4 linked regions of the Lonchura striata genome follow. The protein of the gene in region 1 interacts with the protein of each later gene in a biochemical or structural test. Links are inferred from orthologs where the notes say so. Each region holds a gene or a part of one and is shown in the gene's direction. Other genes may lie near its edges.

Region 1 (7,437 bases):
AAATAAACCACTTGACAAACTCACTTGATAAACAAACACCAGCAGCCTGGCAAATGCTGCTGGGAAACAAAACCAGGCAGTGTGAGTCTGCAGCAGTGACACAAGTGGCCTGTCCTGGAGCTCTGCTGCTCTGTGTGTCCCCGAGGAGCAGAAACCCCCCGAGCAGCTGCAGGGGTTTGGGTGTGCCTGAGGGATGCTGAGAGTCCTGCAAGGCTCTGGTCAGGCACCATCTCCACTTTCAGGCTCCAGAGTCTCTGACCTGCCCCCCAAAGTCTTCTTGTGTCTTTCTCTCCTTCCTAGAGGGAAGAAAAGCAGGTTGTGAGCTCCTCTTTCCCCCTGAGAGCATGAGGTGGGTGCTGTCCTGAAGACCCACAGACCGAGGCAGGAATTTGCACAGAGGAGAGACTTTTCTCCTGCAGTTCTGCTGGGAGACACAGGGAACACAGATCCTGGTGCTGGAACCTGCAGTGACTTTGGCAGAGCAGGTGACTGGGGGTGAAGACAAGCCTGGGAAGGTCCCCCAAAGCCTGCATCAGTGGAGGGTGTCTTTCCTTGGCTGGGTTTGGCTCTCAGATCTCTGGAGTCCCACGCTGCCTGCTCAGGGAGGGACCCGGTGGCCACAAGCCCCAGGCCAGTAGCCACAGCCACCCTTCCTCCCACATCACAGCACCTCTGGCCACCTGCCACAGCCTCCATGGGTATTGTAAATGCAGGCAAACCCAATGGGAAGAAATGCTGATGTCTGACTCAATTCAGAAGGCTGAATGATTTCTTTATTATAATTATGCTAAAATACATCAATATATTATATAAAAGGAGGATAATAAAACTACATACTACTTTCTCTGATTCTATCTCTAACTTATACTTAACTCGTGACCCTCTCTGAGAGCCCAGCCCCAGGTGGGTTGGATTGGCCACAAGGCTCAAACAATCCTCACCAGAATCCATCCCAGCACTCACCCCAGGGAAACAATTCTCCAAACACATTCCACATGGAAAAGCAAGGAGCAGAAATAGAAATTGTTTTCTCTTTCATTTCTCTCTGTGCACCTCTATGAAAAATCCTGAGAGGGACAGAAATGTGCTTGCCACACATGTGCATCTAGAGATGGAACCCAGACACAACCCATGAGCTTCTATTATTTCTCAGTCAGATTTTGCATTTATTCTTTCTTTAATTTGTAACAAAATGCAGCCAGGCAGGAAAATAGATTTAATTTTTTTTCCTAACTGTGCAGGAGGGCATAAAACAGTAGGGGAAGCACAGCAGGTTTTGCTTTTGTCTCCCATCAGATAATTCAGGGTTATGGACAAGAAAAACTGGAACCACTTAGAAAAAAAATCCTAGAGGCTGTGATTTCCAAATTCACTCACTGGGCCCAAGTGCCCAGTTCTGAGTGTGGCCCCAGCTCCCAAAACCTCTCAGTGCTGAGGTCCACGTGCACCTGGTTCCCTTTGCCCCAAAGGGATGGTAATGGGGTGGGAGTGTGGATGGAAGGAGAAGCTGCTAATTGATTTATCTGACGAACACAGCATCCCTCCCTGCCAAATTCAGCCAGGACTGAGAGCTGAGGCCAGGCACCCCTAAATGATCCCCTTGGATCAGCCTGCCTTCCTCAGGAGCCCAGGCTGAAGGGCGTTGGCATCACCCATGGGTGCCGAGGACAGGAGCAGCAGTTTGCCAAGCCAGCTCTCCCAGCCAGCACAGGACCTTCCAGCATCCCTGCACCAACCAGATGTACAAGGCAACGAGCTGCCAAAATTATCCGAATGTGCTCCCCCATGATGATTGAAGTCCTTCCTGGGAAGTGTGAGGCTGAAGGTGAGCACAGTATTAGGCAGCTTATTAAATTAATAGTGCATTAAAGAACTCATGGGAGGTGGAAGGGAGGGGAAAGGGAAAGAGAAGGTTTGTAACATCACAGAAATATCCTGGCTTACCTTCTGGCATCTTCAAGAGACTGGAAATGTGGGACTGCATCCAGCTGCCTTCTCTGGGGCAAAATTCCTTCGGCTTCTGTGGGAGGTTTTACTCAAATAAGGATTGCAGGATCAGACCTGTTATTGTCACTGCAATTAACATTTAGATCCACATCTAACATGAACTGTTACAGCCTGGTTAGGGAGAAATTTAATTTGCTCTAAACAGCTTGATGGGAGAGGAGCATGAAATGTCCTGGTTATGGTAATTTCATGTGTTGGGAGTCTGCAAAGGTGGATTTGCAGCCCTGGCTCTCGTAACCCTGGGATCTGCTGCAGCCAGGGAGATGAGTCTGCTTTGGGATGGGACTTTGGGGTGAGATCCCCACCCCTGTGTTGGTGATGGACACACTCAAAGCCCCAAAGGCCTTGGGCACCCAGCGGGGTGGGGACAGGCAGGTGAGAGCCCAGCTCTGCCCCGAGCTGTGCTTGCCCTTATCGGAGAGATGAGCTTTAGTTTGTCTATTAGGAAACTGATTTCTACCTTTGAGCTGTCAGTCTGTACACAGATATCCATGAAATCCACGATTTTTGTACTCTTAGAGACTTTGAACCCAACTTTCTTTTATTTCCTTACGTATTTCCTTTTTTCCTCTTTTTTTTTCCCAGGAGTGGATGTAACTCACTCTTAAAAAACTGACTTGGAGATGAAACTTGGCATTTAAGGTCCCGGCCCGGGAGCAAATGAAGTTACCAGTTATAAACACACACCAAAATCTGTTTGGACATGCTGGAATTACAGGAGCAGAGGATTAAAAGGATCCGAGACGCTTTATTTAGTTTTAACTTCTGCAGCTCCACCTGAGTGTCAGTTTGCAGCCGCTTGCCTGACACAAGACGGATCCTTTTTGGTGTTTTTGCTCTTCAGGTGGATTGCAGTGGGTTTGGAATTTTTATTCTAAAGCAGATGGACTGGTGAAGAGGTCCCAGATTGGGATCCTGAGGTGCTGCCAGCTGTGTACCCCTCATCCAACCATCCCCACGTGGCTCTGCCCTGCAGGAAGGGCAGGGTTTTGTGTTCTCCTACAACAGAAGAGTTGTAGGAGAAATCCAGGTGTTGGGGGCCTTTCCAGAGCCTCTCCTGTGTGGCTGGAGACCCCACAGGGACAGGCAGGAGATGGAGCGATGAGGGCCCGCAGGGATACGGTGGGTGGCAGATAAGAGGCCTCACTTTTCCAGGAGGAGCTGCTCGCTTGCTAATATTTCTGGCACGAGACACTTGGCCAATTAAAGAATAAATCAGGGCAGATAAGGCTGCGGAGCAGCGTTCCACGGACCTGCCACACAGGGAGGTGATGGCAGAGCTTCTGGGACATCCCTGATTGTCCCAGCTACCCCACTGCAGGAGAGCTGGGAGCTATCTGTGCCAGCAGAACCCCCCCAGCAGCTGTCCCTGGTGTCACCCCAGCCTGCCTGGTGTCACCCCAGCCTCGCCGAGTGCCCAGCCTTGCTCCCCAGCGTGTGTGAGCAGCTGCAGCGTGGCCCCAGCCTGTTTGTTATGCATGTTACGGCCGTGGAAAGCGAGGGTCGATAGGATGTTTAATATGCTTCATGCATAGCGGAGTCGCTCTGGTCCATCAAGCCACTAATACACATTCTTACAGGGCTGAGTATCATTTATTAAACCTGGAGGCCTGCCTGGGAAGGGGGGCCGGGGCTCTGGGAAGCAGCCAGCGGTGCTGCTGGGGTGGCACCGGCGGTGCCCAGGAGGTGAGAGTTTGCACAGGAGCCGCACACACACACACACACACACACACACACACACACACACACACACGAGTTATTTGTTGTGCCTCACGGATGGGAAATGGAATAAATCGCGCTCTGAGCGCTGCCCGCCCTGTGACACACCCCGGGGAAGGGCAGCGGGCTCGGGGGCTCGCTGGATGCTCGGGGCTGGGCACAGCTGGCATTGCTCAGCATCTCTCCAGAACCCCCTCTGCTCCCCTCCCGAGGCTGCCACTGCAGCGCTACGCACATCTTATTATTTTTTTCTCTTTCCCCCTTCTTTTCCCTCTTTTCTCCTCTCCTTTTCCTTCTTTCCCCTCTCTTTTCCTTTTATCTTTCCTTCTCTTTCCCCCCTCTCCTTTCCTTCTCCCGTTTTCCTCTCCTTCCCCCTCTCCCCATTCTCATCTCCCCCCTTTTCCCCATCTCTATTTACCCCTTCTCGCCACCTCTTTTTCCCCTCTTGTTTTTTCCCCTCCTCCCTTTTCTTTTTCCTTCCCCCCCTCTATTTCCCCCCATTTTCCCCCATCACTTTAAGAAAAAAAAAACCAAAAAAACCCACCAAAAAAATCCTAAAAAAAGAAAAACCCATCAAGCCAGCAGCGCGGCGGGCCGGCGGGGCGGGCGCGGGGCGGCGCTGCTCGGCTCGGCCGGGCTCGGCTCGGCTCGGCTCGGCTCGGCTCGGCTCGGGGCGGGCGCGGCGCCGCCGCTCCCCCTGCGCGGGCCCCGGCGCGGAGCCGGGCGCGCCCGGCGGAGCCGAGCGGCGGAGTTGCGTTCTCGGGAGTTTGCCACAACTCCGCGGCCTCGGCTGCGGAGCTGCAGCTTCCCCGCTGCCTCCTCCTCCTCCTCCTCCTCCTCCCTTCCTCACTCCTCCTCCTCCTCCTCCTCCTCCCCGTGGGTGTTTTTTTTTTTTTCCTCTCTCCCCTCCTCCCCTCTCCCCCCGCGCTGATTTCCCTCCCCTCCGCCCGCCCTGCCTGTGTGTTTTCGCCGCCGCGCTCGCCGAGCCCCTTGGCATGAGTTAAGCACCAGCCATGGACACCAAACACTTCCTGCCGCTGGGTGAGTTCTGTTCCGAGAGATTCTCCCTTCCTACCGCGGGGGGTGGCGGGTGCTTCGGGACGATAAAATCACCGCCTGTCCTGCCGCTTCCCCCCGCACCCACCCCCGGCTCCGCTGCCCCTTCCAGCGGCGCGCACCGGGGGCCGGCGGGCGGGGGATGCGCTCGCCCCTTCCCCGGGGAGCGCCGCGGCGAGCGCGGGCCGGCCCCGGCCCCCGGCCCCTGCCTTGGAGTTGGTATTTTTGTTTTGGTTTGCTGTTGTTTTTTCTGCTGTTGTTGTTTTTTTTTTTTGGTTTTTTTTTTTTGCCGTAGCGCAGCCCCGGGGATGGCGGGCCCCGGCCGGGAAGCCGAGCCGGGCCGAGCCGGGCCGGGCCGGTCGGGCAGCGGCCCCAGCAGCGGCGCTTTGAACGGGGCAGCGGCAGCCGGCAGAGCCCCCTCCCCGCCCGGGGCCGGCTCTGCTTCGGGCTCGGCAGCGCTTCCCCCTCTTGCCTTTCCTCTCGGTTTATTTTTATGCTCTAATTTTTGACTTTTCTCCGTTTTTTTTATTTTTTTCCTCTCCCCGCCGCATCCGGGGCGCGCAGCCGGGCAGGGGGAGGCAGCGCCCGGCCCCTCCGCTCGCATCTCCGGCTCCCTGACCCGCCGCGGTTGGGACCCTCCTGCCTTTTTGTTTAAATTTTTTTCCCCCCCTCCCCTCCCTCTCCTCCTTTTAGCTGCGTTTAAAACCCTATTTCCAGCCGGAGTTTGCCATCGTTTCGGTGACTGAGTCAAGTCCTGGCTTGTAAGGGCGAATGCCTCCTGCGTCTCGCTTCCAGGAGAAGTGATATTGCAGAGCTCAGTGCTCGGGGTGGGGGGAAGAAAAGTTTGAGCGAAGTCGCCTGGCGCCAAGTCCGGGCGAGGAGGAAGAGGGGCGAGCGCTGCCATCCCTGTCCCCGCTCAGCCCGCTGGCTCCCAGCCTCCGGCCGAGCGAGCACAGCCAGCGAGACCGTCCCCTCTGCCTTCTCCGGGCTTCAAATCTCTGCCGCTGCTCTGTTTTGATTCTTTCTTCCTCTTGGTTTTTTTGTTTTTTTCATTCAGTTTTTTTTTTTGGTTTTTTTTTTTTTTTTTGCTTGTGTTGTTGACAAATCGCAATTTCAGTCGTTCCTTAAAAAGAGCAGAATAAATACAAACATCACAATGTTTCCTGCAATCCCAGCCCGCTGAGAGGCTTTTTCCAGGGCTGTGGTGGTCTGGGGGCTTTGGCAGGAGAGACCCTGGCCATGTGGGCTGGCAGAGCTCTAGGTGGCATCTCCGTGCCCCCAAAAATCTCAGTTTCAGAGTGCCCCTTGTTGTCTGGGCTGGGAGATGCTGCTGGGGCCAAAAGCATCTCACCTGCAGTGTGTCCCTGGTTCCAAATCAAACCAGCTCCTCTTGGTTGTGTCCAGTGCGGTTGTTGGGGCTCATCCCAGCAGAAGGAGCCTCTCTTATTCACTGGAGTGCTTTAACCTTCGGGGTGGCTGTTTGGGGGATTCACGTTTCCTTGGATGTTGTTGTGGAAGACAATCCAAATCTGGGTTGATCCGGGCGGGTTCAGGCCTCTGTGTATGTTAGCTGTGTTTTCTATCGGTCCTGAACTCTCCTGTTGTGCTGTAAAGACTAAAAAATACATTGTGTTATTAGTCAGGTTGGTTTGAGGGGGTAGGAGGGGAAGAGTCTGTGACTGCTGGCTCCGGGAAGGGTTTTCACGCTGCTGCAAGTGGAAAACAACTGATTTATCTGCTCATTTAGAAATGTGTGCGTGGTGGGGCTGCGCCACACACTGTGCAGCACACCAGGAGCATCCCCAGGAAAAACAGGGCAGCCCCCCAGGACCTGCTGGGGGAGGCTAAAACATCTCCTCCTTGTCTGAGGAGAAAATTCTGTCTGTCTGTCTGTGGGGGCTGTTTGGGGTGTGTGGTCTGGGATTGTGCTGCTGGAGGAGAGACTCCCAAACTTTATGTGCTGGTCTTTGGTTATTGATTATTGGGAAAAATCCCTTTGGCTGCAAGGGGAGTGGTTGCTGCAGATGTTGGAGAGGGAGATCTTGGTCCTGCTCTGGGCAGTGCAGGCAGGTTGTGTCTAAAAGCTCGGGAGCAGTTTGTGGGATTGAGGGGAATGTGAGCTGAGACTGTCCCAGTGAAACCAGAGCTGGATGAGCCATGGGGACTCTTTAGAGGCAGGATGGTCCAAACCCCACCAGGTCCCAACTTTGCAGGGTCCCAGGGTGTGTTTCACTAACCCAATCTCATGCCATTTTTGGGAGCTGGTGCTGGAAATACCCAGGGGAGAAAACCAGCCCAGCTTGTGGGATTTGTTTCCCTGCATACCAGTACAGGCCTGAGCTGGGGAACAGCAGCAACACGGCCAAAATTCTACCCCATTACTGTGTCCCCATCAAAATCTAAGCTCAGTTTGGCCCAACAAGGCCAACCTGGTGGTTCCTGGCCAAGTCCTGCCCGTGGTTAGACTTAGATAAGGCTGCTGATGTCATGGCTGGAAGTGTGGCCAGCACTGGGCACTTTTAATAGTAGTATCTCATTTTCCTGCTTCTCTGGAGAGCTGCTGGCAGATGCCAGCCAGAGGCTCCCCATGAGGACAGCATGTCCCCGGGCATTTCCCAGGCTGGCTGCTGTCACCCTCTGCCATCCCAGTGCCAG
Region 2 (7,542 bases), on another chromosome or scaffold:
CCTCTTTCAATCTCTTGCTGCTGACATGGGGAATTCAGCTTTGTCAGAGAAAAATTCTGAAAGGAAAATGAGTGTTCTGAACAGCTCCAGCTGCATGCCTATAACCTTCTCAGACATTATCTTTGCATACCCCCAAGTAGGAGCAGTGCTTGTGCAGTGCAGTACCTGCTCTGCTGCTGCTTTCTCCTGCCAGTTGATGAGCAGGGACTCCAGCATGGTTATTTTCTGGATGTGCTTTCACACTACCAGGAACGTGACTCATCAGAACAATGTTCTCAGAAATATAATCTTCATGTTTGTGCAAGTGGGATGAAATGGAAGGAAATTCAGGAGTACAGGATGCTCTCTTCTGGATAAAAAAATCCTGGTATTTTGTTCTGGTAAAATAATTAATGTAAGGTAGTCATATCAATTTAGCGCCAGCCCCTTTGACTCTTCTATAAAAGGTGTCAAGTAGTGTTTATTTCCTGCCACTAAATGTAAGACCTGAAGTGTTATTCCTCATTTAGGGTCAAAAACCTGCAGACCTCTACCCCAAAAACACACATGGCAAAGTAAGCCTCACCCTAGCTCGTGCCTCAGAACAGATACAGCGTGCTGGAGGCATGGCCAAAACTCACCAGATGCTGCAAGCATATGATTCCTCCATGAGAGTTTATATGGTACAGCTGTCTTTAAATGTTTCTGTAATTGAAAAGACTCTAGCATCTGGTCCTTTGCTTATTACTCTTAGAATAAATAGTCACGATCTGAAGTCTACTTTTAAATAATGCAAGGAAAAAAAAAGTTAATTTGAGCTACTAAGGGTACATTCCTCTCAGATGACCTGCTTGGAAGTACTTGTAAAAATGGAAGTAGACTCTGTAATTAAAAAAATGAAAAAAAAAAAAAAATAGGAAGTGGAAAACAACTCCAGTAGGGAATGATAGATGTATGCATGCAAATGCCTTCATAATTTTAAATCTAGGTAGATGAAAAAGCACTGGTGTGTAGTTTTTATAACTTTCAGCCATAGAATATCTTACTCTTCCTTTTACACATCATTGTGTCATTCAACTCTACCACCAACAGCTGCAGACTTGCTGCTGTCAGGAGGAAAACAGGAGATGTCCTGTGGTACCCCCCTGCAAGAACCCTTCCCTGGACCAGTTCTTCCCTGATAACACTTGTAAGGCTCCCACTGATTTCAGGTACTCCCAGACAGTACCCCTGAAGAACAGCAGAATTTTGCACCTTACTACTTCAGATTTATGGATGAACACTGATATATGATGATCATTAATTTAAGCAAACCTCCTTTGAAGTCTTTTATTGAATAAACAGGATTCATCATAATTCCTTTTTTCTTTTTATTTTCTATTTTTTGGTGTGTGTGTGTGTGTGTGTGTCTCCCTAAATTCTGGAATAACTAGGTGATTTAATCCTCTGTGAAGGCACCTTTGGAATGGTGGCTAATCTGACATATTACGTGAATTGAACTAGGCTGAGTCAAGGACAGAATTTCATTATTTGTCTATGTAAGGCTGACAAACTATTTTAGAGGAAGATTTAGTCTGGAAATGCATTTCTGTAAAGCTTCTCGACCACAACCTAAGCCTCTCATATCATGATTGGATGCCATAAAGCAAGGCCTTAATTATTGTGATTGAAAAAGGTAGTTTCAGAGTGGTTAGCTTTTTGAGAGGCTGAGATAACCTTAAATAAAAATCAAAATAAAAGCAACTGTAGTTCTCCCAAGCTCTTCAAAGCACCTTATGTGATTTAAAAATGAGCTAGCATTAGCTTAAAAACATTTGGGAATAATAAAATAGCATTTGCATTTACTTTTTGATGATAATATGTATCTTTTTACCATATGGCACACACCAATGTGTTTTGTTTCAGTAAGTTGAAGACAAAGTTTGCTACTGAAGATGAATCCTTGCTTATCTTTTTTAAATGTACTATTGTAATCATCAGAATTATCAAAGATAAGTTGTAGGTACATCAACATTTATTTAACCATTTTTTAAATGGTCAGACAGATTAATTTTGTTCTTCAAGAATGTTAGAATCATAGTTATATTTTGGTTTTGATAGAAGTTTTCCTAGGTCAAAAATGCATTAGGATATATTTTTTTAAATATATAAAAGAAATGGTTTGCTGATATTACCAAAGTATGACACCAATAGCTCTCCACTAAATGTTTGCTTTTCTGGGAGTGAGTTCTAATGTAAGCTCTATAATAAGTTTCTCCCTTCCAAGACTGATGTAAAGGTAGTTTATGCTTCCTTGTCACAACTGGCCTTCCATTTAACATCATCTTATAGCGATGAATTCCCTTTGAAAAAAAATTGAGCAAAGTGTCCAAAATTTTGTGATGTCTGTAGGACAGTGAAGGTATAGACACCACCCACAGATGGTGGATTGGTACAGCCATGGATGCTCACCTTTTATGTTTGGGGAGTGAGAGTGTGTTTGGGTTTGGTTGAAGAACGTTCAGAAAGGACCAACAAGTTCACATCAGTACTTTCATACTTCTTGAGAGATGGAATTTACTACGTGATGCATTTTTTTCCTTTACTTGTACAGGGTATTTATTCGGTATATTGTTTGAATTCTCATAGTTAAGTAAACATGGACTAGCGGCACAATTCATTGTGATACAACTATTAAGCAGTGGAAACAACCTACTAAATCTTTATGTTTTATTATTTAATACAGTCTCCGTTGATTGTATCTTCTGAAACTTGTGTCCTCAAGCAACTATATGTTACCAGACAACAATCATTTTAACAAATACTCCACACACACATTTTTTTTTTATGTTGCTTGTCCAAGATTCCTCATTTTGTAGGTCTCTCATCTACGCAATACATTCCCTAAGGTTAAGAATGAAAGACGTCTCTACTACAGACACTCTTGATTGAAATAGCAGATAAATTGCTGCAGTAATGAGAAAATTTCCTTTTCCCCAGATAACTCAGCTGCTTAGCATTGAAAAAAATTTGAGATGAAGATTCTTTGTGAAATAAAAAAATTAGGGATAATTTCTTTACGATCAAAATTTGCTCATGAGCCTATAATGGAAAGGAAGAGAAAACCCATTCTTTTCATGGAAGTACAAGTAGGCTATATTATGAGACTTATGCTCTTAAAAAAAGGGACTTGTATAAACACTGTGACATGCAATGGCTTTAGAAAATGCTGCTGCATGTCTGGAAGAAAGTGGTTAAAAACACATGATGAAGTTAACCTAAATCTTTCATTGGCTTAAAAAAATAGGTCAAGTAATACATTACTAGCTCCACTCTAAGCCTGTACACAATCTGTACATTCCAAAGTGAGAGGTTTTATTTAACATTCCTACATCTACTTTCATTCATGTTATCACTCAGTTAAAATACTTAGCTTTTCATAAATGTGACTCCCTTTCGCTTTCTTTAAAGTGGAAATTCCTGTGCTCTTTAATATTAGTCTCCCACTAAAAAGACGCTTGAATAGATCATTTATTTTACCTGAGTTTTAAAACTAAAAGGTGGGCATGTGTTAATGCAGTAATTACCATGCAGTTTATATGTGACTTGCAAACAAATTTGTTTCTCTTTCGTCAGTCTTTGACTTGTAGAAGTGAAGTATCATGAAGTATTCTGTAAAGCGTTTGGCAGACAGTGTGCGACACGGCGAGACGTTTGTTAAACACAGGCACACAGGAGGTGTGATGAAGGTCGCATGCACTTTGTAGCTTCGTTTGTACAGCCAAGCTCAGCCTGTATCTCTGCGTACTCTCTTTGGTGGCAGCAAAGTCTAAAGAACAACTTGACATTCCGTGCAATTTCTGACAGCAGAGCTTTGGGGGACGTCGCCTAGCAAAATATAGGGCTGACTCTTCTTGGGAAGCACTGCTCTGCTCCGGGTTGGTTTATTATTATTATTATTATTATTATTATTATTATTATTATTATTATTATTATTATTTCCCTCCTAAACTGCATTTATTTGCCACGTGGCTTTAATGAGCTGGTGTGCCCCCCCGTCCTCCTTCCCCGCGGCACAGGGAGCGCCGGGCAGGGATGCTCGCCGCTCCCGGTGCCCTGGGAGAAGGAGATGCGCCGGGAAGCGGGGCAGCGCCACCCCGGAGCAGCCGCAGGTGCCGGGGCCGCTGCCGGGAGCATCCCGGCTTTTCCTTCAAAATAGCGTAGTAACAACAACAACAATAATGATAATTATAATGATAGCACTGAACTTTCTAGCCCGTGGTTTTTTTTCGGAGGAAAGGCTGAAAACTTAAGCTGTAAACTGACAAGTACTAGTAGCACGAATAGCGCCCTCCCCCCTATTATTCCAAAGCAGCCGAAGGGGGAAAGGAAAAAGAAAAATAAAAAAAGGGAAAAAAATAAAGTGTTATTTATAAGCCACTGCCGTTTTCATCCGATACGGGTCCTCCGGTGCTGTCGCTCGTGAGTTTCCCGGAGGCTCTGCGATCTCAGTCAGGTTAATTAGAGGGGGCAGGAGGGGCTGGGATTCGCGTACGTGCGGGCGGCCGCCCTGCCCTGCCCTCGCCGCGGCGGGCGGGGCGGGGGGCGCATCCCTGCGTGCCCGCATCCCGCCCCGCCTCCTGCCGGAGGTTACCAAAGGGTTAAGAAACTTGGCTGGAGAGATGAATGGCGCGGCGCGGGGAGGGGCCGGGCTGCGCCGCGGCGGGCGAGGTGGAAGGCGGAGAGGGAGGATCGCGGCTGCGGGTTAGGCTTTGAAAGTCAGCCTCGCAGGCATTGCAGCAGAGCCCCGAGCCGCGGAGAGCAGCGCAGCGGAGCTCGGCTCGCCCCGTATGTGCGCGGGGATGCGCGGGGCGGGGGGGACGCGCGGGGCCGGGGGTGGCGGGAGGCGGCGCGTCCTGCCCTGCCCGGCCCCGTCCTGTCCTCCGGCCGCGGGGACCCGCCTGGGCACTCGGCTCCGGCAGCCGCCGCTCCCCGGGGCTCAGCGCCGGGACCGGCCGCGGCAGCAGGGCGGCGTGCGCGGCGGCTGCGGCCGGAGCGGCTCCGGGGGGCTCGGGCGGCCCGGCCGGGAGGAGCCGCGGCGGCCGCGGGGTGAGCGCGGCGCTGTTCCGCCGGGGAAATGGCCGAGCGGGGCCGGGCCGGGCCGGGGCCGCGCTACCGGGGAACAATGCCGGGGGGAGCCCGGCGCGGCGGCGGCGCCCGCGGTGCGGGCGGAAAGTTTGCCCGGCCGCGGTGGGTTTGGGGGAGCCGCCGGAACGGAAAAGTTACTATTCCGCCCCCCCACCGGGACCCGCGCCGAGCGCACGGCCGGGCCCCTTCGGCGGGGACCCGCGCCGCCCCGCCCGGTGCGAGCGGCGGGCGGGCGGGCGCTCGGAGCGCGGCTGCGGCGGGCGGGCGGGCTCGCTCCGGGGCTGCGGGCAAGGCCACGCCGCCCCGCCGCCTCCCGGCGCTGGCGCTGCCCGCCCGCCGCCACCTGCGGGCCCGCCGCCAGCCCGGGGCCGGCCCCGCGCGGCGCGGCTCCCTGCGCCCCCCAAAGATGCCTTCTCATCGCTTCGGGCTCCTTAGGGACGTCGCTGTTTCCCTTCTAGACTAAAGGTTACTTTTCCAGACGTGGTGGTTCTTTTTTTTTTTTTTTTTTGGTGTGTCCCCGAAGCCCTCTAAAGGTGAATTTTAATTTTTTTTTCTTCCTGCCACTGCCACCCTTCGTTTTTCCCTGCAGAACGTGTTGTTTGAGGCTTTTCGTTCTAAGTGTCAGCGGGTGATTAAGTTGGGAGGTAGTGAGACCTAAGGAAACGTAGTGTAGGCAAAACGGGGGCAGCGTTGTAGCGAGCAGACAGCCTTGTGTTTGTGCTGCACCTTTCTTCTTCTCTCTTGTGTATTCCTGGGGATTTACTGGGCTTTTAATTTAAAGAAGGATTCAGATAAAATAGCTTGACACATGTTGGAGGTGTTGGGAAAAAACAGCAGGATTTCTGGCTTTGGGATTATGTTGTTGTTAAGAAGGCTGAAGTGGAAGTTGTCCTCTTTTGCCTCATCTCTCTGGAATCTGGCGACTATATTATTCCTTGTTTTATTTTGAGGGGACCTGCTGCAGTGTCAGACAGCTCGCAGGCTGATTAGAATTTAACTGAGTCATGGCACTATAAATGCTCAGAGATACGGTAAAGCTTTATTTAACAAAGAGTGTGAATCCAATCTGTGAAGACCTATGGGGAGGAAGCAGTCACTTGTGGAAAGGAGGTGGTGTATTCCTGAGCGAGTAGGGAACATTTTCTTTAATACACAAATGCGATTTACTGCTTCTAGGGCTGACTGAACACATGAGAGAGTGACACATTAAGATGCCAGATGACAAAAGCTCTCTGAGCTGAGGATATCTTGTGGTTGGGATCAGATTTTAATGGTATCTGAGTAATTCTGCTCCATGGGTATCAGTAGCTAACATCTTGGAAGGCACAAGTTCTCATCGAGAACAGTGTTCAGGCAGCTTTGGGGTTTTCGCTATCTGAGGCAGCTGTTTTCCCAAACTTGTGGTAGAGAAGTTTGACTTGTTCTGTCGGTGGTCTCCTGAGATAGAGTTGACATGGACTCGGAAGGAAGACTGAGTTGATCATGAGTGAAATGCGAATGTGAGGGTGTTTGTGTTCTGTGAGTTCCATGGAGGAGGTAAGGAGTAGTGACTGCATGTTTTGGGCAGGGTGAAATCTGACCTGCTGTTAGACTGGCCTATGCTTCTGGGTTACCTAATGAGCAAGAGCTATCAATGGCTTTCAGGTTTTGTAGGCCATGCATGCACAGAATGCAACATGCAGTCAAAAGCCAAACCATGCTGGATTGAGGTTTTTGGGTTTTTTTCCCTTTTAGTCTTTTGGCAGAAAATTGCAGATGGAAAGATGCTCTTCTTCTCTGCTTCCCATGCTTGTTTCTTTTTCTAAAGTGAAAGGTGTGCTAAGCAAAATTTATTATAGTCATAAAAACTATGTTGATAAAGAAGTAAAAGTAAATAATGCTTTTATATTGTAAACTTAAAAGGGTGATCTAATCACTGGCTGTATCACCTGCAGTGTTTGATAGTTGTGTTTGGGATAAATCTGTTCTGTAAAAGGCATGAAGACATTTTTTTAAGTGATTCAGTTAATTCAAACATGAATTAACTTTATAATGCTCGTATTTGCCTGTAGTTTTGCTTATTGCAGGGATTGCTTAAAAGAATTGACAGAGTCCTGCTTGCTTAAAACTTATTTTGTCTCTTCAGAGCTAACTTTATTTTTCAGGCTTTGAGCATTGGCAGAAAGTTCATATAGTGCCAGCTTTATTATCATAAGCAGTGAGAGCACTGTTAATTCTACCAGCGACAGTGCGGGACATGACTACAATAAAAGAGAAAACCTGTTTTGCATTGAGCCCAGCACATGTATAAACTTGCCCAAGGCATTTCCCCAGGTCAGCTGTCCTGCTCTAGGGCTGTGCTAAAGACCATAAAGACCATAAGATCTTTGAATTATTATTTTAGAATAGCTCTTCAGAGCTCGCCTGTACTTCAAACCCCAGAAGTCTTGTGGTTGT
Region 3 (7,752 bases), on another chromosome or scaffold:
TCCCTGAAAGGGAATCTAATGGGATGAACCCAAGGTAAATTTACAAAAGCAGAGTGTCTTCTCTGACTACAAAACTAGTAGGAAAGTGTGCAGAGGTGATATTATTCCATAGTTTGCAGTGGAGGTATGTTGCATGGAGAACTGGAAACATTACAAGGCAGCTGGCCCACTCCAGGGTGCTGGACCCAGCCTTATCTGTGGTGAGCTTCCAGCTGAAACTGGTCAAGCAAATCTCAGTTGTGAAAGTCTCAGTTTTTATTTGCCAGGCACTGGAGAAATATTTTACTGGGGTAAAGAGCATAAATAATAGGACACAAAAGAGGTTTCCAAGAAACCATCCTCCAATCTGGAAGAAAAGTTTTATGTGTGTCTGTATATGTTAGGTGAGTGAAGTATAGAAAACCGAAAGTTGAAAATCCTAGGTAATTTTTCTCACTCTCTCCTCACTGAAAGAAAAAGTAAGTGTAGCTTGATGGGTTCTTGATTGTGGAATTCCAAAAGGCAGCCTACAGATCTAAGCTATATTCTAGATCAATTCCTAATTCAACCTTCACAGTTTGGGCAGCACTATGCTCATTCATTGCCTGTTCCAGATGCTTTAGTATGTAAAATTCTCCTACTTTACTGTTGCTGGAAAGGTTAATATATTACATTTCCCTAACCATTAATGCATTCCTAATGCATTCATCTTACTTCTAGTGAACATATTTTATATTTTACAGATTTTGAAAACCAACTACACATTAAGATGTCCATTTCTTAAAAGAACACAGGCCAGTAAAGGCTATATATTCTGGGACACATCCTCCCAGTGACTGCTTCGTGTTGCTGTAATACAGTCTGGCCAGAAAGCTGCCAGGTCTATTTCTTGGATGACTACTGTGTCAAAAACATGTTTTAATGACACAGATGGAGTGCTGACTCTCCTCCCCACTTCCTTCACTCTTGCCACATAAAGGTTAAACTGGGCTGGCACACTGCAAAGCCCCATGGTTTTATTTTAGTCTGTAAAAAAACTTTGGAAAGAGACTGTTTAGTGTCACATGGCTGTTTTAAGAGGAGGAAATGCACATGCTGATGTTGATGGTAATCTGGAAAGATTTGCATCTGTTGCATTTGCAAGACCAAGTGACTGCTAGACAATCTAGAATTACAAGAAAGAGACAAACTGAACCAGGGACAAAAGGAGGAAATCAGAGCCAGCAAGTAAATTCTAAGTGAAAGGAACTTCTAGTTATGAGAACTCCATTGAGAAGTTCTTCAGTGCAGCTGGCAGTCATTTCTTTCTGCAGCTGAAGTTTCTGAATGATAACTTTTTGTGGAGGATATCACAGGAGTATAGATTACAAATGGCAAAGATCTAGATTGCAGCCACAAAGTGTGTGTCTGAACAGAAGGCAAAATGCTTATGGAATTTGCTTTAAATGGGATGTCCAGAAGAAGCAGAGGAGGTACTAAAACAAATTGTAAACAAAAGTAATGAGTAGCATAGAAAGGGAAGAGAGAAGCAGCCTCAGCTTCTGGATGTTTCCTAGCTAGTCATCTTGATTTCCAGCTATCAGCTTGTCACCATCGTCATTCTTTCTTCATTGGTTTGACTCATTCCAGTGGAACAATGGAGAGCCCAACAAGTCACTAGACAAAACCATCAGCTGTTTTCACACAAAAATGAGTACAGCATGTATTGCCCTGTGTGGGTTTGTCTACATGCCCTTTTCCAACAGCCCCAAGCCAGCTCTGCCTGTGATCCCTGGTAGCCAGGTATGGTGTAGCTGTGGCCAAAAGCTGTGCACCCAGGTCGGTATAACGGGATGCCACTTCTTTCCCCTATCCTTGTCACACTTTGCCTGAACAATGTGGTTACATTTAAAAGTTTTTTTCCTCCCTCCCTTGTCTACATGTACTGAATGGTTGGTTTTCTCAGGATGTTTTTTTTTTTCTGTTCCTCCATGCCCGTTTTGTTTCTATCCCAAGTACTCCTAATATGATGCCATAACTAACAGGAAGGCTCTACATTCAAATTTAAATAATGCAAGTCCAAACTTTCATTTTAAATCAGATGCTGTTCTGATGCCATGCAACTACAGATTTTACAGCACAGTTTGAGCAAGCTTTGCAAACATCCTAAGCAAACAAACTTTGCAGGAAACATAATCCTATTATTTTACTAATCTTTGGGACACTGCCTCATGGGGATCATCATTTTCAACACAGCCTCTACTCAGTTCTTTTACAGGGTAATCTTTGTACCATTATACAGTATTGCTATTTTCCTGTGCTGACATCTGTTAGAGAAATAGTTCATACTAGTTAAAGAAACTACCTAGTTTGATGATCTTACGACTTGCTATTACTCCTCACAAATGTACTATTTACTGATTTTCTGATCATGTTTGCTCTCAATACTAATCAACCATTCTTCAATTATTGCCTATTCCTCAATAGACCTTTTCTAATGGCATTTTTGGTAATTTTCATCTTGCAGAGCCTGTACCATCCTCCTTAACTTTAATTCCAGAATCTATTTCATCATTCACACTTGGCATGCTCTCAGCCTGCAAGGTCCTGCCACAATGGATTGTTAGCACATTGTCATATGGTGTTGAATAACCAAATCGGTGGGGGGAGGAAACTACAGGACTCTCTCCTACCACTTGATCACTCTTAGTAAAGGGACAGAGGCAGCTGGACTGGGAGGCAGAAGGTGTACTTCAGGAAGGTGCTTCTGGAGGCATTTTTTCCTTATGTGTTGGCAGGTCAGGGGTTGGGAATGTAATGGCTTGTCCCCTCCACTGATATTCTTAATCAGAGAATGACATTTCCCTCTTAACATTTCCTCATTGTAATGCCAAATCCGTTCCTCCTCCCCAGTACAACCTGTAGTATTGTTCTCCTGTTACCATGATAAATTATGCGTGTGAGACACGCTGAATCATGATGCTGCTCCTGTACACAGTTCCTTGTGCTGAAGAAATGAGTATTTTATCATGTATGGCTTTTTTTATGGTCCTATTTATTACGGGACCTTTGTTAGGGTCTTAAAGAAATTGCAAGGAAGTGGGAAGTATTCTAGCTGCTCTGGGAATTTAAGCACAGACATCTGGAATATTCTGAGGAGCCTGAATCTGGTTTATGGTCGATGTAGCAACCAACATGCTAGATCTAGCTTTGTGTCTGCATGCATACTTCATAGAAGCTCACAGAATCACAGAAGTGTTTGGGTTAGAAGAGACCTTAACTATTATCTGCTTCCACCCCACTTTACCATGGGCTGGTCACCTTCCACTACACCAGGTTGCTCAAAGTCCTGTCCTGATAGATAACACAGAGAAGACAAATTTTAAGTTCCCCTGAAGTTGCTGAATAGATCAGCTAACAAAAAATGATAAAAGAATGTGAAAGTGTGCACACAGGATGATAAATGGGCTCGAACCAGTAGATAAACTGATAATGAGGAATATAGTGGCTTCTTGGGCCAAGTTATCTCAAAAGAAGCAGCAGTACATGCCCTAAGAGAAGTTCAAGGAAAGGTCATCTGTAATATTGGGGGCACTTGGTGAGTACAAAGACCCCTTCAGACTACCCTTTAGGGACATTAAAAGGCTTTGAGTAGGAGAGAAGAAGGCAGATGCATGCAAACTAGTTCTGTGAAAAGTGATGTTTATGTATTAGCCAGAAGTACACTGTAATCAGTATGTATGATCATGATGGAATAAATAACTTGTACCTTCTGGAAGCACATCAGATTAACAGAGCTATCGTTCTGATGTGTCCAGCACGGTAATAAAGAGTGTCTGTTGTCTGATACTTAAAATTGTGTTAGAAAGTTTGTTGTCTGATTTCAGTATGGGACCAACATTGCCTCGAACGTTTCCAGGGTTGGGACATCCACAATTCTCTGGGTAACCTTCTCCAATGTCTCACCAGCACAATACTTAAGGCCTTTGATTCAATACAATGTTCTGTCTAAACAAGAATTGTACTTTTCTGTTGTATCTTTTTAATTGTACCAATCACCAAATAGCTTCAGTCAGGTAATGTGGTGGTATTGCTGTGATCGGCCAAGCCAAATACAGGCCAAGACTCACAGCCTCTCACCTGCACGTAGGGCAGGGAGAAGGGTGACCTCTTTTAATGTGTTGTCCAAGGGACAAAGACGTCTCACCGAATCACAGAATGAGTCAGGTTGGAAGGGACCACAGTGGGTCATCTGGGCCGACATCCCTTCTCAAGCAGGGTCATTCTAGAGCACATGGCACAGGACCGTATCCAAACAGTTCTTAAGCATCTCCAGCGAGGGAGACTCCACACCCTTTCTGTGCAACCCGAGGGTTCAGAGCACGGTCACCCACACAGTGAAGAAGTTTTTCCTCAAATTCAAGAGGAACTTCCCAGCCTTCCTCTCACCCGGACAGAGCCAGGTACCGCCCAGGTGAGAGAGAGCGGCCGCGGGTGCCGAGGAGAGGGCGGGGCTCCCGGGACGAGGTGGGCGGGGCAGCGTTCGCCGCACGTAGCGGGGCGGGGCGGAGCGGGGCGGGGCGGGTCGGGGCGGGCTGCGGGCGGGGCGGGGCAGTCCGGGGCGGGGCGGAGCGGGAGCGTCCGTCCGTTGGCGGCGCGCGGGCGTCCGTTGGCGGCGCGGCGGGGCAGGCGCCGGTAGGCGGCGGCGGCGCGGGCGGGAAGCGGCGGGGCTGCTCCGCCTCTCTTCGCCTCTCCGGCGGCGACCGGCGCAGGACAATGGAAGAGGCGGCGCGGGCGTTAGCAGCTGCGGTAGCGGTGGCGGCGGGGGGGCCGTGCCCGGCGGACAGACCGGGGGCAGCAGCGGCGCTGAGCGGGGAGAACGAGGCCGAGAGCCGGCAGGGCCCGGCGGAGCGCGGCGGGGACGCGGCGCCGCTCAACCTGTTGGACACTTGCGGCGTGTGCGGGCAGTCCATCCAGAGCCGGCGGCCGAAGCTGCTGCCGTGCCTGCACTCGGTGTGCCAGCGCTGCCTGCCGCCGCCGGACCGGTACCTGATGCTGCCCCCCGTCCTGACCCCCGCGGCTGCCGCCGCCCTCAAGGAGCCGCCGCCGGCGGCGCCTCCCTCCTCGCCCGTCTCTTCGCAAGCCTCACCGATGCACTGCACGCCCAGTAAGTGACCCTTCTCCCTCTCTGCCCGTACCCCCTTGCCGCTGCCCGGGGTGCTGCCCGCTCCAGCCCGGAGGCCCGTGTGGGGACGGGAGCTGTCGGGACCGGGTGCCGTGGGCGGGGTGCGGGTGTCCGGCCGCGGAGCTGCCGGGATAGGAGATGCTCGCCAGCGCCAAGGCTGGCGGCGGGGTTGTGCTGTGGCTCGGTTTGTTTTAATCGCTGTTTTTTAAATTTCCCACCTTGGGAGGGAAGGCAGAACTCCCGTGCTTTCTCAGGACCGGGGCGTTGAGAGCCGGGCTCCCGCTGCGGGCGGTGGGCGCGGGCCGGGCGGCTGCTCTCGGGGAGCCGGCAGGCTCTGGCCCCTGGCCGGCAAAGAAGCCGAGCACCGGCTGATCTGATGACAAGGCACAGGAACGTAGCGGCAGGACAGGCTCTTCCTGAGGGGAGTCCTGCAGGTGTCATCCGCCGGCCTGGGCGGGGACCGGGGCGGCCGAACAATAACAACACTTGTTGGGGCCGTGGGCAGCCCGGGCGGCTCTGCTGATGCGCTTATGCGCCATTTACTTGCTAATTACCGCGAGGAAGTTTTGTTACGCTCGTGTGCCGACACAGTAGCCTCTGTCAATATGATTGAAAAGTACATGTCGCTGTAGAAGGTGTGGAATAAACTCCTTCCGTTTAAAGCTACTTTCCTAATGTTTTTGATTTTTTTTCCCCCCTAGCCCTCCTAGGCTGGGTGTAATGGATCGCTTAGTTTTGTTAAAGGCAATTTCGTCCTGTTGTGGAAGCTGGTGAAGGTCTTGGAAAAACTTGTTTAGGAAAGAGGAAGTGTGATGGAAATTGAGCTAATCGATAGGTATTAGTGGAGGTTGTACTTGTTGGAATATGTAGTGAGAGATCAGGTGAAAAGTAGTAGCTCCAGGTTGACATTCTTATGTTCTTTAAGTGGAGTTAGGAATACTTCTTCATCCTGCCAGAGTTCTGACCAAAGATTACCACTCGAATATGTAAAGTGTTTGCAGAAATTCTTAAAGGAAACGCCTTCTTCAGAGAAAGAAATACTTGGAACAGCTAGAGATTTGCTTCAGAACATCTGAGGAGCTCCCAAGTATGTTAACAGGATATGCTGAACCTCTTCATCTATGCGAGTGTCTGTGTTAGTATATTCATTCAGTCTTTAATTTTAGCATGTAAAGTATGTCGTAGTCAGACTGCCTAATCAAGTTACAGAGTGGGAAAATCTGTGAGACCCAAAGCCCGTATACTTATACTTGATTGATTCAAGACATGTTACTGCTCATATGTCTATAAGTGGGAGGGAGATTCTGGGAGGAACAGAAAAAGCACAAACTCTGGAGTTTAATGAGGTATTTCAGGTGAGATACTTGGAAATAGGAAAGAGGGTATAGATACAAGCTCAGGAGTTTGCAAGGTAGTGTAAGAAGCAATATTATCATTGTCTTCTGAGATTTGAGGTCATGAACAATACAGGTCCATTCCCAGATGTTCTTTATAAATATAGCAGAAATAGGGATCTGTAGCTGAATGAGAAATGAGATGCATCATAAGAATTAAAACATCAGTGCTGTTCAAACATCTGCTTGATAATGAATCACAGCAACAGTGAGCTTGTAGCTCTGCTCCCTCCTTTTGATTACGAGTTGGTTCTTTATATTAATGATTTCACAGTACATACTCCTCCTTCTAAAGATTTGCAGACATACTGTACTTTTGGTGACAATTATTTTTACCCTTTTGACTTTTCTCCCAAGCTACTTTCATGCTTCCATACTAGAGTTCATTGTGCAGTTGGAAGAAGAAACTTACACTCACCCTGAGTATTTTTTGTATCTTTACTGGTCATGTGTTTGACTTGGTTAAAATGACAGGGACTGTGTATTAGCTAGCTATGGCCAAACTGAAGTGCATTGTCTACTATCCATTTTCCAACTGGTACAAAAAATACCAAAAAACTGTGAATTTGAAGTTAGGTTTGGGAAAAACTCACTTGCTATGGATCCAAAACTGATAATATAGAGGAAATCTGTTACAGCTGGAGGAGTTATTGAATTTTCACAAGAAGGTAAGAAAGACCAAAGTGGTGCAAAACTGTCACCTCTTCTGGTAATATGTTGTGCAAAATGCTTATGTGAATGACACAAAGAAATGAAGGAAGAGCATAATCTTAGAAAGCTGGATAACAAATGACTCTTCTCATGTAAATTATGGAATTACTGTGACTAAACTGAAGAAATAAGCATCAAGGAATCTGTTGCTGGAAGGAATGTCCTAAGTAAGGAATGCAATAGAACTGCAAATGAAAATGTCCTGAGCAGTGATAAGCAGACAGGGTGCTTATGGGCCCGTGCTGGGTGCTTGAGTTTCACAAAAAGAAGCCTGAAGAAAGACTGGTAGAATGGAGTCTGTCTTGAACAAAAGAGAGGATGTGATTTGAAAAATGCTTCACCAAACCAGCCTTGTGTGTTGTATGAGTACTGAAATTGGCTGAGAAACAGGTAGCTGGAGAGGTTGAGCTTCAAATATAATCTGGAGAGACTTTTTTTCTTCATCAAACTGTTTCCAAGAAGAAACATTTGTTCACTTTATTAAAATAAATTGCGCCTTCAACT
Region 4 (7,534 bases), on another chromosome or scaffold:
TTACTTAGACAACAAGAATTGACTGCACTGGATTTGTAGCCTTTGTTATTGAAAAGAAAACTTTGAACAGGATGGAAGAAAAACTTATGTAAATATCATATGGGTGCTTTCTTATGTGCTATGGGTTGAAGGCATTAAGGGGAGGGCAAAGTGTTCAGATGATACACCTGAGTGGCACAATTAGCTGTGAGTTTCAAATAAGTCTATTTGCTTGTGGAAGTTATAATTCTGTATTTTTTGAATAAGGGTATTTATTTTATTTTCTCTCATCATATCACTGCCCCCCTTTTTCTTTCCCTCCTTGTGTGATGGTATTGTAAATTTGTTATGAACACAGTTTTATTTCTCTGAAAAAAAGACTTAATCCATGGTAGTTTCTACCTTCTGTGGACAAGAATAAGTTGCATTAAAAACCAAACCCATAAACAAACCCTTTTATATTAATGTATCAGGTGCTAACAAGTATCCGCTGTCCTGCACTGATAAGATACATTAGCATTCCTGCTTAGCTCTCCACATGCTTAATTTCCTTCCAAAATGTACACAAAGGAATTTTGAAAGGCATTTTGTGTCATTGAAAGTTTTAAAGGATAGTTATGATTTGAGTTTGTGAGAAGTAAAATTAGATGTAGATTAAAATTCCAATTCATAGCAATTGCCTAATGACCAGTAAGTCTAAACCAGGCCAATTTTATTTGACTTTTCCAGACAACTGCTCTTTTTGGCTTTCAGAGCTAACTCACCAATTTTCAGATAAAATCAATTCTGTTAGCCACAGTCAAAGGTGGTGGCTAAAATTAGTTAGCTTGCAGCCCTAGCTATGAACAGACTGCTGTCTGTCCATAATTACTCTAAGAGGATTGTGCCAACTTTAATAACAGTTTATTTTGTTGAAGTGTGTGATTTTTACAATTTTTTAAATAACACATTGGAGTTCTGTTTTTTGAAATTTTTGTTAGGTTTTGTTTGGGTGGTTGGAGACTTGGAAATATGTAGTACCTTCAAGGTAGAATGTCCTAGGCATTGATACACTAATGAAGGCAGCATGCTAATGTTTCAGCTAATGCTGTATTTCCTTTCCCTGTATTTTGTATTCCATTTGTATGTATTCCTTTGCACTCTACTCCAAGTACACTGTTTAAAAGGGAAATAATGAGTTGGCTTATTGGGTAATCACCAAGTGTGGCCCTGAAGTTTGCAAAGGTCATGCTTGTCACTGAGCTGGATAGGGCAGAAATTTCTTAGCTGTCATGGAGGCCATGTAGTAAATGACATTTTAGTAATATATGGAAACACATCCATATAAAAAAAACCAAGAGTTGCATAGTCTACAGGTAAAAATGATGTTCCCTTTCCAAAAACAGTGGTATTAAGGAACCAGGTACTGTCATTATAACTGAATAAAGAAAGTGATATATTCATGGGGCAGACTGCAAAAGAAGACATTCATTTGAAGTGGTATGGTGTGGAAAATACATAGAAAGTGACAAAAAGAAGTGAATGGGGTAGAAAGAGTCTCCTGAAATGTTATCTGCAGGTTCCAAAGTGTCTGGCGAAAGAAAATCTGCTTTTGTCATACCTGGCTCCATGATAGTTCCTTTGATTTTAAGGAAGAGTTTGAATAAGAATGGGGGGGGGGGGCAGAGGGGGGAGGAAATAATTATGTAAAAACTGCAGAATTGGCTGAAGAGGAGAAACGAGAGACACATTTTTTGAGATATCTGTAGTTTTATGGGATATTTCAAGCTTTTTACTTATCACAAGGTGCAGCATTTTCTCTTCTGAGAGGTGTCTTTGGAGGAAAAATGAAACTGTGAACAAAGCCCAGAGTGCTGTTTTGCTTAAACATGAGTACTAGAAGTATGTCCTTGGATCAGGGTGTTAAGTAACTTTTAATGACTAGCCATAAAGAAAAGAATGTGCAGTGTTGTGGCAGAACCTAAAGAGAACATTAAACGAATGTGTATTCCACCACTGGTTTTGGAGCAGAGTGATAGTCACCATTCTTCTCCAGACATTTTCCATTTTCCTATTTTACTGCAGCAGAGATTAAAAGATTGACAATGGTAAATTTAAACAAACAAACAAACAACAACAAAAAAAAACAACAGAGCCAAACAAAAAGTGGCTGCCCCATCCCTAGAAGTGTTCATAGCCAGGCTGGATGGGGCTTTGAGCAACCTGGTCTAGTGAAAGTTGTCCCTGACCAGAGTAGGGAGCTGGACCTGTGTGATCATTAAAGTCCCTTCCAACTCAAACCATTCTATGATTCTATGAGCTTAGATAAAAGATAAGATAATAAAATTGCCAAAGAATGAAGAACTCACTGAAAGAACAATTTGGTTTGGATTTTTTGTGGTGTTTGGTTTTGGTTGGTTTGGGGAGCGTTTTTCTTTGGTTGGGTTTTTGTTGGCCAGTTGTTAATTTGACAGGTCAACACATAATTTTTTAGTTCAATTAGGCTGTTAGTGGATGTTGCAGCTCCAGTGGGGGTTTGTGTGGGGGTTGGTGTTTGTGAGGCAGATCAGCCATGGCCACGCAGTGCGCGATGCTAACGGTCAGGTCACTTCCTGCCCCCTGGGGCTGCACCTGTGTTCCACCAGCCCAGCGCCCTCGGTCTGAGGAGAGCACTGCTGTCCTGCTCTGCTGCTGCCTCAGCTCAGCCCCTTGCTTTCTCAAGTGCTTGGTTTGTTCCACCAGTGCTGTCCAGGCTCTTCCGATAAAGCAAACGGATTATCTCCCAGTGCATTCCAAAAGTATGTATGCAGGAGTGAAGTTTACTGAAGGTCTGCGAACCATGAATGTGTGCCTCAGAGGTCTCAGTGGGACATATGAGTGAGTGGAAAACCAGGTTGGAAACAAGGTATTAGGAAAACCTATTCAGCACGTGCAGTTGTCTCCTTGTAGTAGGGAGCACCTTCTCCCTCTCTTGCAATCTTTTTCAAGTGTAGATCACTTATGTTAAATATATAGCTGGGAACATCTTGTGTTAAGTAGAGATATGAACCTGAACAGAAGAAGAGGTCAAGCGTGGAAATAAATTCCAGTCAGTACTGGATGATTGAGAAGTCCCTTTTCTCTCACTCCCTCTTGTTTGTAGAGGTGGTGCTTGAATTCACTTGAGAAATGAGGAGAAGAAAAGTACAGCTATGGTATTTTTAAAGGAAAAACAACTTACTCTTTAAATTCACATTAGCACCTGGAAGTGGGTGGCTCAACCCTGTAATCATCTGCATCATCACACTACTTTTTCCTGACCAGATTATGGAGTAATAAATTTTGTGATTGTCGCATCATGCTTGAATTTTTATACAAATGTTCTTGCTGTTTAGGACACAAGTTTTTGAGTGGCCAACAAACTATCTGAAATGGTTTAATAGAACATCATAGTTAGCCCACTTACTTCTCTGGACCACTTTTGGAAAAGAAGATTGATTTCTCCATAGACCAAAGCCTCTTCTCAGTTCTCCAGTGCTCCAGTGTACTTTTGTGGTCACAGCAGCAGGCACGTTCTGGTTATCACCAAGTGGTTCAAAGATGCAGCGTGGGTGTGACGTGCCCCTTTGAAAAACCATAGCTCTGCAAATAAGCTTTCTTTAGCCATATTGTGTGCATGCTTGAAGGGATTAGTAATAGATTTTTGGTTTTTTTCTTGGAAGTCACTGGAAAGCAAAAGACTAAATCTATTTTGATTTCACTCGGGATAGATTAATGGGTGTCAAATGTTACACAATACTTGACATATCCACTGCTGCTAAGTTGGCCGTGGCAAAGGGATTACCCGATAATGAATCACCAAGCTCTTTAGCCGTTTAAAGGGAATCGTGCCACTTCCTTGCCCTGGCAGGACTCTCTTCCCTGCCTGGGACCTTGCTGAGACAGTGCGTGTTCGCATGTGGAAAACTCCACGCAGATGCGCAAGCACCGGCTTGACAGCTTTGTGTTCAGCTTCTACCTTGCTAATTGTTTTCGTGGGATTATTTGGATTGTGTGGAAAGCTTTTTCCAAATCCCCTTTATTACTGATGTTATTGTTGCCAGCAGGAATAAGATTAAAGGTGCTTAAGTCTGTAGAGTTGTTTCTAATTTGTACGTGTCATTTCAGTGGCATTTGAACAGAACTCTGTCTCTTCCCCTCCCTGATCCCCTGTGGTACTGTGCTTGAGTTAGGGCTGAGAAGCCAAGCTATTGGAAGAAAATTCATTTTGTTCCCTAATTATTATGCTGGCACTCGGGAGATAATTTTTCCCTTCATGCACTGCCAATTAATATGCAAATGAGCTGATAAATATTTATACCGTGATTTAAATTATGCAGGGAGCGCTTTCAGTGTACTCTGCAAATGAATTGTTCATGGACTTCAAAGTGCTGGCTGCTGTGCTAACGAGAGGAGATTTGCATAAGGCCCTAATCAGGCGCATACTGATTAAGCTTCATTATGGAAACTGCCAGCTGCAATCTTTGTTTCTATTTTATTACAAAAAGGGGAACTTTTCACGCTTCAGTCGCCTTGACAATGTCAGACACAGCTAGTAGGAGAGACTAAAACTCCACACAGCAACTGAAGTTTCCCTGTTCGGTTGAAGATTGCTATGGTGTAACTGAAGTTGTATTTCTCCCCCCACCTCCCCACTCCCTTTCATGTTCAGTCAGAGCAGTAGTGTAGATTTGATAGAAATTGCCATTCTCCCGTTCCTTGGACTATCTGAACCTGTAGAGGATACCACAGCAATGCTGGACTGCAGCGACTACGTTCTAGGTGGGTACCAGCTCAGCTCTTTCTTATGGTCACCGAGGCTGGGAGATTGACTATGCATAGTGGCTTAATCACATATGCAGAAGGTATTTGTGGGGCTGAAGCTCACCAGTGAATCGGCAGCAAATAGCTGCCTGCTAGGTGGATAGCTCGATCTGTACCAGGGAAATACATGCTTTGGTTTGTTTGTTTGTTTTCCCTCTTTTCCCTTGCTCCAGGAGAATTCGTTTCCTCTACACAGGCTTGGGTGATATTAATTCAGACCTTTTGCTTTTAGGATTTCAGTCTGAGAAGCATTTGCCTTCTAACAAACACTGGGCTTGACTTGCATATCTGTGTGTTATGCATTTTAAGGCATTAAAATGAATGAGAGGGAGCATAAGTGTTGAAAGAATTTAGTAACTGTATTGAACCATTCCACAACAGAATGTATGTTATGTGTGTGTATTTTTAATATAGCAAGGTTCTTCGTGTGTAATAGAAAATAAGGGGGAGTGCACAGTGGTTGCCATTGATACGGTTGCAAGCTGTGCTTAAGGTTACTGGGATAATATATTTCCTGCGCTGAGATTCCATCAGGACTGCGGAACAGACATGCCATAATTCCTTCTTTTTGTCTTTTAAAGTTATTTATAGTAATGGATCATCTCAATTTTACAATAGGTTTTATTTCTTTTCAAGGCTTTTCCCCCCAAAAGCTCAATGTATATATATATATTTTTTTTATTAGTATTATTTTCATTCCAATCATATAAGTTCATATAAGAACATATATCTCTAAGTAAAAGGATATTTTTTTTAATGCTAAATTTTAAAGCAGACGTTTGAGTATGTTTGTTTCTGAATATGATGTGGTTTTTGAAAATTAATTTCTAAATAATTCTTGTCATGTTTTCACTCACATTAAACTTTGTTTCTCCCGTGCATATAAATGAATAATTTTTGCTGGTGCACATGGAATATTAGGCAGTTCCGCTTTTACTTTGGGTGAAAGAAAACAGTTAATGTTATATAACATGTTAAGATTTTTCTTTGCTTTGCCAGCTGTGTGCAGTCATTATAACACTTCAGGCTGGTCCGGTGTCCACTGCTGAATGCCTTTGGAAATATTCCTGAGGGTGTGTGAAAGGCTGGCACAGCACTGCCTGGCGACACCTCAGCCCTGCTAGCAGAGTAGCAGCATGGAATGTATTCACTCCTGAGAGTTTGATTTCAATCATGCACCTGCTGCTTTCGATCCTTCCTTCTGGGGAGTTTGTTTTTAGATAATGTTGGCAGAAGTTGTAGCCCAGGGCCTTTATTTAAAACCCAAGGAAGATCTAAAGGAAGAAAAAAAGGTGAAGGCATTAAGGCTTGGGGTTTTTTAAGCCCACTTCATTTGTTTATTCTTTTAAGTTTGAAGCAGAAATTGCATGAGCACATACAAACCAAGCAGCCTTTTTATTCGACATAGAATGAATCAGTAGGTTGAGTATCCCGCGGATATGAGCCTGTTTTGCTGGTAGCAGTTTTGTGCTTCAGATGGATGTCATACCATTTGCAATGGAAATAGCTGTATTGTTCTTGATGCTTTACATGCAGAAGGCTCACAGATTGAACAAGAAATAGTCAGCTGGTGAAATAATGGATGCTATCCTTCGCTTGAACCTGAGCACTACCAGAAAGATGTTTCTTCTTCTAACTTGCTGCTTTTTTCAATAGCAATGTTTGAGGTCTTTGTTAAGGATGGACCTTTACAATAAAATATTCTTCATTTAGACAGGCTTTTGGTAGTTAAGTAAACTTTGTGTATGTCTAGTACTAAAAAACCTATTCTGGAAGGATATTTTGCAGCATAGCCTGACAGAAAAACGTGTCCTGGCTTGCTTTTTGGAAAGAGGTCTGTACAGTTATAACTTCGTGTGACTGAGCAAACTTGCTCATCATGTAGGAAGGCTTCTTGTGTGAGCTTCCTCATAGGACAGAACAGTGACTGCCCTGCTTGAGTTCTGGGCACAGGACAGCTGTGTCCCCCCTCTGGGTTTAGTTTGCTTTGCTTATTCTATCATTAGTAGCCTGCACCTTGGCTCTAATACTTCAATTCCTGCAACAGACGTGGTTCAGCAAATGGATTCCATCTTTCTGAGAGACAACTTTCTCAACCTGTGCTCTTCCCTTTTGTGGTCAGTTGTATCTTGAGTTCAAGCTATTCTTCTGCTCTGGGCTTAAAATTACATCCTGTGTCCAGTAGCCTTATGAGTTAGCCTGGTTTCCACAACAAAATGTATTTGACTTGTAAGAACTCTTTGCTCATTTTCCTGTTGGATGAGGGAGGACTCTTCATATTTGTGTCCAAAGCAAAGGACTCCCATTCGGTCTTCCCTAAAGTGAAATTTCAGTAGTCATCTGTGTGTAAAGGAATGAATGAATACTGCTTATCAAAAGCATGTTGCCTATAATCACTGTAAGCATCAAACCACATTTTGTTGCCTCAAATCATTCTAGGTGTGCTGTTGCCACAACAATAAACTCAATTTGAGATATATGCAATGTCTAGATAGAAATATGGATCTCTCAGCAGAGAGGGCTAAATCAAGAGCAGACATTTCTGTATAGTCAGTAGAACCCATGTTCTGTTTCTAGAGTGTGAAACATGCCATCCATATGTGGAAAATGACAAAATAAGGAGCTTGGAAGCTATAGGTTCTGTACTTGTAACCTTAGCAGAATTCTTGTTTTTCAAGACTGAATTTGTAGCTTGAATGTGCTAAGCAGAGGTTGTGAAAAACGGCGCCAAACT

What was found.
Region 2: the proteins of RXRA (region 1) and NRIP1 form a complex in vitro, tested with the Homo sapiens proteins (2 studies listed by BioGRID). The link is inferred for Lonchura striata from reciprocal best matches to the Homo sapiens genes RXRA and NRIP1.
Region 3: the proteins of RXRA (region 1) and TRIM24 form a complex in vitro, tested with the Homo sapiens proteins (3 studies listed by BioGRID). The link is inferred for Lonchura striata from reciprocal best matches to the Homo sapiens genes RXRA and TRIM24.
Region 4: the proteins of RXRA (region 1) and POU2F1 form a complex in vitro, tested with the Homo sapiens proteins (2 studies listed by BioGRID). The link is inferred for Lonchura striata from reciprocal best matches to the Homo sapiens genes RXRA and POU2F1.

Annotation. Positions count from the first base shown.
Region 1 is NC_134624.1:8,182,782-8,190,218, forward strand, and holds the start of RXRA (retinoic acid receptor RXR-alpha), read left to right. Parts: upstream 1-4,422; 5' UTR 4,423-4,739; coding exon 4,740-4,767; intron 4,768-7,437. UniProt on the Homo sapiens protein: Receptor for retinoic acid that acts as a transcription factor.
Region 2 is NC_134604.1:8,744,375-8,751,916, forward strand, and holds the start of NRIP1 (nuclear receptor-interacting protein 1), read left to right. Parts: upstream 1-4,525; 5' UTR 4,526-4,806; intron 4,807-5,005; exon of another isoform or gene 5,006-5,067; intron 5,068-5,612; exon of another isoform or gene 5,613-5,639; intron 5,640-7,542. UniProt on the Homo sapiens protein: Modulates transcriptional activation by steroid receptors such as NR3C1, NR3C2 and ESR1. Also modulates transcriptional repression by nuclear hormone receptors.
Region 3 is NC_134607.1:226,868-234,619, forward strand, and holds the start of TRIM24 (transcription intermediary factor 1-alpha), read left to right. Parts: upstream 1-4,734; coding exon 4,735-5,125; intron 5,126-7,752. UniProt on the Homo sapiens protein: Transcriptional coactivator that interacts with numerous nuclear receptors and coactivators and modulates the transcription of target genes.
Region 4 is NC_134604.1:14,930,944-14,938,477, forward strand, and holds the start of POU2F1 (POU domain, class 2, transcription factor 1), read left to right. Parts: upstream 1-4,519; 5' UTR 4,520-4,640; coding exon 4,641-4,758; intron 4,759-7,534. UniProt on the Homo sapiens protein: Transcription factor that binds to the octamer motif (5'-ATTTGCAT-3') and activates the promoters of the genes for some small nuclear RNAs (snRNA) and of genes such as those for histone H2B and immunoglobulins.